3 linked regions of the Macaca mulatta genome follow. The protein of the gene in region 3 purifies or fractionates together with the protein of the main gene of each other region. This does not show direct contact. Links are inferred from orthologs where the notes say so. Each region holds a gene or a part of one and is shown on either strand. Other genes may lie near its edges.

Region 1 (3,646 bases), on a different chromosome or scaffold from region 3:
CGTTGCCCAGGCTGAGACTTTATTTTTAAATTTACTCAACTATTAGTTGTAAATGGCATCTCACTTCTGTAGTATGAGCTATGAAATAGAATAAGCTTTGAAATCTTAAAATAACTTAGTATATCTATATAAAAACATGTTGTACACAATGAATATATACATTTATCAATTTAAATAATAAAAATTAAAAAAAAATTTTTTCAAGACATAAAGTGAGGCCAGGTGTGGTGGCTCACACCTGTAATCCAAGCACCTTGGGAGGCTGAGACAGGCGGATGGCCTGAGCTCAGGAGTTTGAGATCAGCATGGGCAACATGGCGAAACACTGCCTCTACTGAAAATACAAAAAATTAGCCGGGCATGGTGGTGTGTGCCTATGGTCCCAGCTATTTGGGAGGCTGAAGTGGGAGGACTGCTTGAGCCCAGGAGGTAGAGGTTGCAGTGAGGTGAGATCGAACCACTGCATTCCAACCAGGTGACACATTGAGTCCCAGTATCAAGGAAAAAACAAAAGACGTAAAGTGATATTAAAAAATAACTTGGCTGGGCACGGTGGCTCATGCCTGTAATCCTAACACCTTGGGAGGCCAAGGCAGGTGGATTACTTGAGCCCAGGAGCTCAAGACCAGCCTGGGAAACATGGTGAAACCCCGTCTCTACTAAAAATACAAAAATTAGCCTGACTGCAATGACGCATGCCTATAGTCCCAGAAACTGAGAAGGCTAAGGTGGGAGGATTGCTTGAGCCCCAGAAGCAGAGGTTGCAGTGAGTTGAGATGGTGCCATAGCACTCCAGCCTAGGCAACAGAGCCAGACACTGTCTTTAACAAAGAAATTTTAAAAAATATTAAGTCAAAGGTATTACACTGGAATTGGCTGCATGTCTTCAAGTAGAGAAAGCAATCACTACTCCACTGATTTTAAAGAGCATTCTATTTTGTGCTTTTAGACTTTTTTTTTGAGATTGGTTCGGCTCACTGCAATCTCCACCTCCCAGGCTCAAGCCATCCTCCCACCTCAGCCTCCTAAGTAGCTGGAATTTTAGGTGTGTGCCACCACGCCCCACCCATTTTTTGTAATTTTAGGAGAGGCGAGTTTCACTATGTCACCCAGGCTGGTCTTGAACTACTAGACTCAAGCAATCTGCCCACCTCAGCCTCCCAAAGTGCTGGAATTATAGGCATAAGTCGCTGTGTCCAGCCTATTTTGTATAGTCTTTTTGTTAAAATTTTAGGTTTTTTAAAATTTAATTTAATTTTTTTAAATTTAATTTTACTATTATCTTTTATTTTTGTAGAGACAGGGTCTCACTATATTGCCCAGGCTGTCCTCGAACTCCTGGGCTCAAGCAACCCTCCTGCCTCAGGCTCCTGGGATTACAGGCATGAGCTACCTCACCCAGCCTTAAGCTTTTATATTGAGCTTTTTAATCTATTAAGGATTACATTTAAAGTGTGGCTGTTACATGTTCTCCAAGTTGCTACACAGTTAATCCTAAATCAAACTGATATAAAAAAGTTAATTTATTATATTGAACATCCATTTTGATTCACTACCCTGAATTGCAATTTTATGCCAGTATCTTATTGTTAACTGATGCTTTGGGATATGTTTTAATATTACTCACCTCTTTTGCACCAGATTCTTTGAGCAGTTTTATTATAGGTGAGATGGTATTGCCTCTCACAATTGAATCATCTACAAGAACAATTCTTTTGCCTTTAAAGTTGTCTGACAATACTCCAAATTTTTTTGCAACACCAAGTTGTCTTAACCTCATGTTTGGCTGAATGAAGGTTCTCCCTACATATCGGTTTTTACACAGCACCTCCACATATGGAAGTCCACACTGATAGAGAAGAAATGAAAGGACAATGAGGAGCAATATACAGAACAGGCAAATATTAGTTCTCTAGATTGTGTTGCCACCAGAATATTCAAGTGAAATTTCAAAATTATTTTCCTTTATTATTTGGAGAAAAGGCAAAAAGAAAAACCACTAAACAAAATATACTTGGTGGAAAAACCAATTCATTTTGTGAGGACTCATAATGTTTTTGTCTTAAACATTATTCCTGTTTTGAAAGATAACACTAAGCATATGAAGACATGACAAAGATTAAATCACTGTCAGAAAAATTCATTATTCAAAATGATAATTTTTATTTTTATTTTTTTGAGACGGACTTGCTCTGTCGCCCAGGCTGGAGCGCAGTGGCCGCGATCTCGGCTCACTGCAAGCTCCGCCTCCCGGGTTCACGCCATTCTCCTGCCTCAGCCTCCGAGTAGCTGGGACTATAGGCGCCCGCCACCACGCCCGGCTAGTTTTTTGTATTTTTAGTAGAGACGGGGTTTCACCATGTTAGCCAGGATGGTCTCGATCTCCTGACCTCGTGATCCACCCGCCTCGGCCTCCCAAAGCGCTGGGATTACAGGCTTGAGCCACCGCGCCCGGCCCAAAATAATTTTTAAAGAAATGAATTAAATAAATTAAAACCAGTAGACTAATGAGATACTTTTTAGGGATAGGAGGTAATTAACCCATTTATCAAGGTAATCTTTTATAAAATGTATGCATATTAATTATTTTAGAAGCTAATGAAGTATCCAAGGTAGTGAATATTGGATGTTATACCCCAGGATTACTATAGTTACACAATCTACCTGGTTATGAAAATAAAGCATAACACTGACAACATTATGCTAAATGAACATAAACAGCTTTATTATTACCCATACTTAGTAGCAAGCAAATATTCCAGTGACTTGCGAAGATGATTCAAGATGTTTATTTTAATATTAAGTAAATTTTTCCACTGAAGTCAATATACAGTTGATGAACAGCATGGGTTTGAAGTGCATGAGTCTACTTATAGGTGGATTTTCTTCCATCTCTGCCAACCCTTAGACAGCAAGACCAGCCCCTTCTTTTCCTCTTCCCTCCTCAGCCTACTCAACGTGAAGACAACAATGAGGATGAAGACCTTTATGAAGATCCATTTTTACTTAAGGAATAGTAAATATATTTTCTCCTCCTTATGATTTTCTTCAAAGCATTTACTTTTCTCTAGCTTAAGTTATTGCAAGAATACAGTATATAATATATACACAAAATATGTTAATCAACTGTTTATGTTATTGATCAGGCTTCCAGTCAACAGTAGGTTATCAGTTAAGTTTGGGGGCATTAAAATGTATACACAGATTTGACTGTGCAGAGGGCTGGCACCTTTAACCCCCAAATTGTTCAAGGGTCAACTGTATATTCATGATGTTATCTTTTTAAAAAGAGGGGGGCAAATTTCTGAACCCTTTAGTGAACGTTTTTTCTTTTCAGTGAACCTTTTAGTGGTTTTCACTAAAATAGTGCCATTGGGTAAAAAGCCTGGAAAATAAATAACGCTTGTAAACAAACCAACATTAACCACCAAACCTTCCTTTCTCCTTAGAAATGTTGATGAGTTTCTCTTTATAGGCAAGGATTTCTTATTCCACAGCTAGGAGAGCAATTCACTGCATGTTAATTAAGAGAAAATACCTTTCCTGCATAAGCAAGAGCAGCAGGTGTAGCAGATTCTGGAACAGTGCTGACCAAATCTGCATCCACAGGTGCTTCAATCGCTAGCTGCTGGCCACAACGGTATCT
Region 2 (3,646 bases), on a different chromosome or scaffold from region 3:
GGACCCCGAGGGACAGTGAGCCTCACTCCCTTTCCCAGGAAGCCTCCTGCTGGCTCTGCGGATGTGCCCCTGGATAGGACAGGCCCTGGCTGCGACAGAAAACGACACTGACCCGTTCCCAGTGTGCCTGCACTCCCTAACAGCCAAGTCCAAAGGAGGAGGAGAAGTGGCCTTCCCACAGCTCAGGCCCTCTCGCTGCACACCAGCCGGGGAAAGGGATGTCACAGGGGAACCAACCAGCCCCAGCCCCAGGTGAAAATCCGTGTTTTCGGGCGGGAGGTGCTGTAGGGGACATGGGCACTCCGGGCCCAGGCACCACCAGGGCCACCCTCAATGGCTGAGTGTCGTCAGGCTTCAGTCCCGCCCCCCACTGGCTGAGTGTCGTCAGGCTTCAATCCCGCGGGGCCTCAGGTGGGGGTCGTGCTGGGCACCCTGTGGATCTGGTGGCCGGGGCTGCCCGAGGGCCTCCTGCTCCCTCAGCCCCAGGCCTGGCTGTTTCTGTGTGAGCAGTGAGCAGCTGTGGATCGGAACGTGGCCCTGTGCTGCCCAGCAGGAGAGGAGTGGCCTGAACTAGGAGGGAACAAGGGTGGAGGTGTGCTCGGGAAGGCCACACACCAAGGCGAGGACTGTTTCCTGCGGCTTCGCGGCAAACAGCCAGAATAATCACGTCTGGCCGCTCCCCAGCCTGAGCCTGGGGCGGCCCAACGCCGTTACCTGCTGCTGGGCGAAGAAGTCCTTGACCAGGGAGCCCATGACCTGCTGCGGGGACCGGGCGGTGCTGATGTAGGGGAGGATGAAGCTGCCGTGCGTCTTCTCGGCATAGCAGATCCAGCCTGAGGCGACAGGGGCACACGGGGCTGGCGGGGGCGCACGGCGGCCCCCGCACCCACAGGCAGCAGCACGACATTCTGGAGGCGGGTCCGCTCATATGGGAGATCATGATGACATTAAAGAGTGCTCGTTCCTGTTCTTCCCACCACCACGTGGAGCTCGGCGTGCACGCAACACCGCCTAGGGACCTGAGGTGACTGTGGGTGGCTCCCAAGGGAGGGCAGCCCCTTCTCCACAAAAGGCCATTTGTGCCAACATTTCTAACCCGTCCTGCGAAACCGGCTTGCGTCTCCACCCCCTATCCCCCGCTTTGTCATCCGTGTCCATATCATGTCACATTTTAACTTAACTCGAACTTGACTCTCACACCGCCCGCACCATGAGCACACCTGGGCAGGCGGAGGCCAGCAGGGGCAGGGCCTGTCTGCAGTCGGCCTGTCCTCGGAATCGCCGCACAAACTCTCTCTGGCTCTCCAGGAGGCTGAAGTGCCTTGAGAAGGCGGTGTCAAAGACAAAGTGCACCCCTGGAAGGTGAAGGTGGGTGCCTGGCTAGCCCCGCGCGGGACGCCCACGCGAGTACACGCCTGTGTGTGGACCACCGTGGTGCTGCTGGGGGACGTGTGTGGCACCCGCTTCCCGTGCCAAAGCCCCGGCCCCACCGTGGGGACCTCCTTAAGCCGCGTTGCCTCGGCATCCCCTGCGAATGCAGGGCTTGCTTTCCCACCCCAGAGGCAGGGCAGCCGCTCGGCAGCTCAGTCCTCCACCCTCCCAGCTCCTTAGCAAGGCTGGTCCAGGGAACTGCCACGTGCACTGCTCCCGGTGACCCTCCCTAGGGCACAGCTGGACGTGGCCTGCTGGACTGGCCCCTCGGACCCTGAGTGTGCAGACCTGCCACAGTGGCCGCCCCTCACACACGGCAGGACTCCTGGGACAGGCCCGCCGGCTCCAAGCCCAGCAATTAGAACTGCTTGGTAAACCTGCCTGATCGTGCCCTGGACACCAGCAGAGGCACCAGCACGTGGGTCCCTCTGTCTCTGCCTGACCTGTCATTCCTGCCTCGTGTAACCCATGGTCGGAAGACGGCCTTCGGACTCACTGTGCCCCACCTGCCCGTGATCTGTAAGTAAAAATCTTTGAACTTGCTTCCTATTCCCGTGGGGACGAAACCCACACCTTCCACCTGGAGAACCACGGGCTGCCCCAGGCCAGGTTTCCCCTGAGACACCAGGTCAGGCTCCCAGTGCCAGAGCACTGCTCAGACACCAACTGGACGTGGGTGTGGGTCAGACAAGAGCCACGGGGCACCTGCCAGTGTCAACAGGTTTCCAATGTGAGGGACCCGGGACACAGTTGGATGACAGGCAGTCTGCCGGGTACAAAGCACACAGTCCTGCCTCACTGGGAACGAAGGGACTGGACGTGGCGGTTACCCATGAAAGGCACACAGCAGCCATGAGGTCCAGCCCCTTCATTCCCAGTGAGCCACCGGGCATAGGAGCCTGGTTAGCTGGGGCCTCTCAAGACACCCAAGCCCAGCTCCAGGCACACAACCGAAGTCCGCCGAAGCTGGCCTTAGCTGAACCCAGCGGAGCCCCGGAGAGAGTGCCTTAATATCATCAGCTAAAAAGTACAAGGAGTTGGTCAGCCCCAACTCACAGAAAGTGCACAGTCAGAATGCAGACGATTTCTGTGAGAAGGCACTGCTCTCAAATGTCAAATCAAAACTTCAGGCTGAGGTCACAGAGGGAATAAAGTTTCTGTAGCACTGAAGTTCAGGGCTGGGTGGCATGTCAGTGACTCAGAGGCACGAGGAGCCTGGGCTCACTCAGACGCCCCCTTGGTGTGGAGTGGCAGTGTTACCCCAGGTTCAAAGCCTACCTATTTTTTTAAAGAATGAGGTTAATTTCCTGGCAGTGTCTGTAGGATTCAGCTGAAACCGTGCAGCCAGCGATGCTCTAGACTGTGGCGAGACTGAGACTACAACCAGCCTCTGCTGACTGGGCGCCGCCATCTGCAAAGCAAGGGGAAGACGCTGCTTACTCTGCCGGCCTTATGCTGATTCCTGGTGCCCAGAGCTGCCCGGTGAGATGCCGTCGGCTGTGGAGAGGGCATGCCAGCTCTATCAAGAGTGTCTTTTTTTTTTTTTTCCCCCACACAGAGTCTTGCTCTATTGCCCAGGCTGGAGTGCAGTGCTGTGATCAGAGCTCACGGCAACCTCTGCCTCCCAGGTTCAAGGGATTCTCCTGCCTTAGCCTCCTGGGTAGGTGGGATTACAGGTGTGAACCACTGTGCCTGGCCAAGGATATCATTTTTTTTTTGATGGAGTCTCGCTCTGTCACCCAGGCTGGAGTGCAATGGCATGATCTTGGCTCACTGCAACTTCTGTCAGTGATTCTCCGGCCTCAGCCTCCCGAGTAGCTGGGATTACAGGTGTGCACCACCGTACCTGGCTAATTCTTGTATTTTTAGTAGAGACGGGGTTTTGCCATGTTGGCCAGGGTGGTGTTGAACTCCTGACCTCAGGTGATCCACCCGCCTCAGCCTCCCAAAGTGCTGGGATTACAGGCGCAAGCCACTGCGCCCGGCAAGGGTGTCATTTTGATGTATATTTAGAACCTGAAGTTCCGGGCCTGACACGTTCACCACTGGCACCAACTGACAGGTAAATCACCGAGATCCCAAGCCTCAGAAAGGCAGGTGCCACCTGCAGGCGGCACCACACAAGCTGCCCTTGGCAAAATGCCTCGGCTGCTGGGGTGGATTTCAGGTTAAAGCAGAGTCCTCTGGCCGCCCACCACTTACTTTGTTAGCATCT
Region 3 (4,293 bases):
GAGTGACTGAACAGGAAGCTAGTTGGTCCCTTTAGCACTAACAAAGCTTGATTTAGGCTGAAGGATTAGAAAGCACATCTTATTTCTATAAATGCTTCAACACTCTGTTATCCTTCAACAACCCTAACTAGGGCTGTGATCTAAGACTGACAATATTAACTTAATCCTTGTCAAATTCGTTTTCATTTTATGGCTCCCTTGCTTAAGGATCTACAACAACTCTTAGCACATGTAATAGGTCATTCAAATCCCTCTGCCTGGAATCCAAAGTTATGCAGAATCCAACCCCACCAAACCTTTTCAACTTTTATCTGTTACTGTTCCTCTGTATCAACTTTCTTTTCTTTTCTTTTTTTGAGACGGAAGTCTTGCTCTGTCGCCCAGGCTGGAGTACAGGGGCGTGATTTCTGCTCACTGCAGCCTCCACCTCCCAGGCTCAAGCGATTCTCCAGCCTCAGCCTCCTGAGTAGCTGGGATTACAGGCATGCACCACCACGCCTGGCTAATTTTTGCATTTTCGGTAGAGACGGGGTTTCACCATGTTGGCCAGGCTGGTCTCAAACTCCTGGGCTCAAGCGATCTGCCTACTTTGGCCTCTCGAAGTGTTGGCATTACAGGCATGAGCCACCGTGCCCAGCACCAACTTTCTTAAGAGGGCTAAATTACAACAGGGTTAGTGTTACAGTCTTAGATCAGCTGAGCTGAATTCAAACTAAACAGTTTAGACCATTTTTTTCGGAAAGAAACAAAAATATAAATTTTGCAAAAACATTTGTAAGAATTAAGCAGTCCCAGTGGCTCATGCCTGTGATTCCAGCACTTCGGGAGGCTGAGATGGGAGGATGGCTTCAGTCCTGGAGTTAGAGACCAAGCTATGCAACATGGTGAAACCTTGTCACTACAATACAAAAATTAGCCGAGCGCAGTGGCACAAGCCCTGTTGTCCCAGCTACTCCGGGAGGCTGAGGCAGGAGGATTGCTTGAGCATAGGTCGAGGCTACAGTGAGCCATGATTTCACCACTGCACTCCAGCCTGGCAGACAGAGCGGGACCTTGTCTCAAAAAAAAAAAAAAAAAAAAAAGAGAAGAATTTAGAAGTCCTTATTCAAGATAAGACATTCAAGATATTTTTTCAAAATATGTTCTGAATCCAAAAAATCAGTAATTATTGTTTTCATATTGCATAAATGTGAAAGACTCATCACAAATGACACTGATATAGTAATGTTCTGTATCTTGGTAGGGGGATGGATTGTATAGGTATACGCATTAGTCAAAATCAGGGAATGTACACTTAAAGATTTATATATTTCATTGAATATACATTTTACACCAAAATAAACCGTCAACAAACTCTAGTCAATGATATCCATGCCAAAGTATTTAAAGGAAAGTGTACAGGTATCTGCAATTTAAATAGATGGATAGCTGTATGATAAAGCAAGTAATATTAAAATGTTAATGGTAGGATAGATCCTAAGTGATGTATTCCTTATAAAATTCTTTATACTTGGCTGGATATTTGAAAATTTTCATAATAAAACATGAGGGAAAACGACATTATTAAGACACTGTACTTGTAAATTGTAAACACTGGTAACACACTACATTTCATAAAATTGTAAGATGTTGTTTGGTGGCAGCACCAGGTATTTGCTCCTTGATGCTTCCAAATTACCCTGCACATCCCTCTTATAGAATAGTTGCCTCTCCCAGCATACTATAAGTTTCCGGTGGGCACAGATCTAACCTAATTTGTATTTATATTCCTTAGGCTTTGCATCATGTTTGGGAAATAATATGTGTTCAACAATAGTGGCATGACTGAATCAAAGTGGAATACTGCTAACGAACAAAGTATTTTATTTCCAGCAGATTCACTATTCTTTTCTTACACATTCTAAAGGTTAATACGCTCAGTTTGCAAGAGAAATGTGTCCTTACTTCTCTCCAAGCATGCGAAATTTCCAAAATTTTTTAAACTACCCATTAGACAATTTTATATTGTTACTTAAACCCAAGATCTGAAGCCTTCCTAACATTCAATAACTTTTTAGTAGACTTTTTTTTCCTAGAAGAGCAAAGTCTCAGAACTCCACGGAAGCCTGGAAATTGTTTTATTCTAATTTTAGATAAGCTGTCTGAACTAAGAGATCTCTGAACTTGTCAAAAGCAGGCAAGTGGGGGTCTGGGAAGAAGATAAAAACAAACGCCACATAAAACGTCATGGAGCAAACTAATCAAGAACTTTGGCAAGAAACGGAGAGAAAGTCTTAAGGAGGACACCCAGAACATCTCCAGCTCCTCCTGGCCCGACTCCTCGCCTCCTCTTAATTCCAGCCAGTCAGAGCGCGGGGCCATCCGCCACTCCCAGGATGCCACGCGACGGGAGCGGACGCTGCGAGGATGCACCTCCACACGTCAACCTCCCACAAACAGCGTGGCTTCGTGGCTTGAGCACCCGGTTCGGACGTGAACGCCTGGGTCCGAGTCCCAGCTCCCCCTCCTGCCTTGTCTGCAGCCCTGCGCAAGTCCTCTTGCCCTCGCTGAGCCTCAGTTTCCTCATCTGTAAAATGTAATAATTCCCTATAATTGGCTATAGGGAGATGAAAAGTGTAAATGGTTTTAAGGAAGACACAGGCAACTCTCCAACTTGTTACGGCTCTGAAGCTCGCGGTGCTCACTAACCAGCCTTGAGACCAATCTCTCAAAGTCACCCGCTCCTCCTTTCCCGCCCGGCGCCTGTACCGAGGCCGCTCCCTCCTGTTGGCCCCCATGCGGAAGGCGCGCGGCGCCGTCTGCCGTACCTGCAGCCACCTGGTCAGCGGGGCCCTCTTGTTGACCCATGACGAAGTCGTGCACGAGGCCCCATAGGGCGCCCGTAGGCGCCGCCGCCTCCAGAGCCGCGGCGGCGGCCATGACGCGAACAAGAGACCGTGGGAGGGGATATGGGCGGTGGCAAGAGACGGGCCTCTCCGCGCATGCGCCTCCCGAGGCAATCGCGGGGAGAAGGCCAAGGGGGCGGGGCGCACCGGGTCACGTGCCTACCGGCTTCTAGCCAGGCAGTTCCAGGGAGGGGCGGGGCCTGGAATGGGGCGGCGGCACCGAGAGGGAAGGCGGCTGCTGGGCACGCAGCCGGAGGCCATTGAGGGCGAATAATTCCCGGCCCGGCTCCCCGGGAGACGGGCGGCGGGGCGGGCACCTGGCTGGGTGGGGAGAGGGGCGGTACGCACCACGGGGGAAGCCAATGAGAAAATCAGGCCCAGCCCGAGGGGGCGGTGCTGTCGGTCACATGCGCACCTGGGGCGGGTGGTGGCGGCGGCGCGGGCACCGCGAGCCGGCGGTGGGGAGCGGGGCCGGCCTGGGGCGGGGTTAGGCAGGTGAGTGACAGGCTCCAGGGGGCCGGCCCCTGCCTGGAGCCCCGAGCGACCGGGAGTAGCTGCGGCGGTGCCCGCCCCCTCTCTCCGCCCCTCCAGCGGAGCTGGTCTCCGGCCGGGCACCGTCGCGGGCCCCCCTGGCCCGGCCACCTGGGACTGTGCTAGGGAGTCTGCCACCTCCCTCTCTCCCCTGGCCCGCAAAGTTTTGGCGGAGCCAGCGCCGGGGCTGAGCGCGCCCCCGGGGGGAGATCGGGGAGCGCCAGATGCCGGGCGGCCGGAGCCGTTGACCCGGGACGCCGCCGTCCGGGGCAGGAGCGCGGAGCAGCCGACCACCTCGCCGCCTCCGGTGCATGGGGACTGGCTGAGGAGCCAGCATGGGCAACTGCGTGGGGAGACAGCGGCGGGAGAGGCCGGCAGCCCCGGGACACCCCCGCAAGCGAGCAGGTAACGACGGGGAAGGGAGCAGGGCCTCGGGCACCCCGCCAGTTGTCCCCCTCCTCGCCCGAGCTCTAGGCTTACCGATAGACTCCCCACTGGTGCTGGCGCTTGGGTTTCCCCGATAGCCTGCTCCGCAACCAGACGGGGCCGCTCCCCAGCGCCGGGCGAGCTGAGTTGGGGCAACTGCGAGCACTGAGCCGGCTGCGCGACCAACTCTCTCCAACTGGGAAGCTCCTGGTGGGGGTGGGGGCAGGAAATGTTTGCAGACCGCAGCGGGGCCGACGGATTGGGGGGAGGGCCCGGGGCGAGGGCGCCGCTGGCCTGGCAGCTCCGGCCGGGGTCGGACACCGGCCCGTCGGGGCACGGCGCGGGCAGCCAGGCGTCCCCAGAACTTGGAGCGAGCGGGGCGAGAACAGTCGCTCCTTCCAAAGACTGTGTCATTATCGGGCTGCAGATCGTGTCTGCCGGAATCCGACTT

Evidence for each region.
Region 1: the proteins of MMS19 (region 3) and PPAT purify together in Homo sapiens (affinity purification with mass spectrometry; 3 studies listed by BioGRID and IntAct, with this or other methods). This does not show direct contact. The link is inferred for Macaca mulatta from reciprocal best matches to the Homo sapiens genes MMS19 and PPAT.
Region 2: the proteins of MMS19 (region 3) and CIAO3 purify together in Homo sapiens (affinity purification with mass spectrometry; 3 studies listed by BioGRID and IntAct, with this or other methods). This does not show direct contact. The link is inferred for Macaca mulatta from reciprocal best matches to the Homo sapiens genes MMS19 and CIAO3.

Annotation. Positions count from the first base shown.
Region 1 is NC_133410.1:77,082,063-77,085,708, reverse strand, and holds part of PPAT (amidophosphoribosyltransferase), read right to left. Parts: coding exon 3,539-3,646; intron 1,850-3,538; coding exon 1,628-1,849; intron 1-1,627. UniProt on the Homo sapiens protein: Catalyzes the formation of phosphoribosylamine from phosphoribosylpyrophosphate (PRPP) and glutamine.
Region 2 is NC_133425.1:1,950,311-1,953,956, forward strand, and holds part of CIAO3 (cytosolic Fe-S cluster assembly factor NARFL), read right to left. Parts: coding exon 3,634-3,646; intron 2,843-3,633; coding exon 2,710-2,842; intron 1,356-2,709; coding exon 1,221-1,355; intron 834-1,220; coding exon 715-833; intron 1-714.
Region 3 is NC_133414.1:109,546,130-109,550,422, forward strand, and holds the start of MMS19 (MMS19 nucleotide excision repair protein homolog), read right to left. Parts: upstream 2,937-4,293; 5' UTR 2,920-2,936; coding exon 2,808-2,919; intron 1,083-2,807; exon of another isoform or gene 1,020-1,082; intron 415-1,019; exon of another isoform or gene 1-414. Other genes in the region: UBTD1 (ubiquitin domain-containing protein 1), read left to right, coding at 3,752-3,821. UniProt on the Homo sapiens protein: Key component of the cytosolic iron-sulfur protein assembly (CIA) complex, a multiprotein complex that mediates the incorporation of iron-sulfur cluster into apoproteins specifically involved in DNA metabolism and genomic integrity.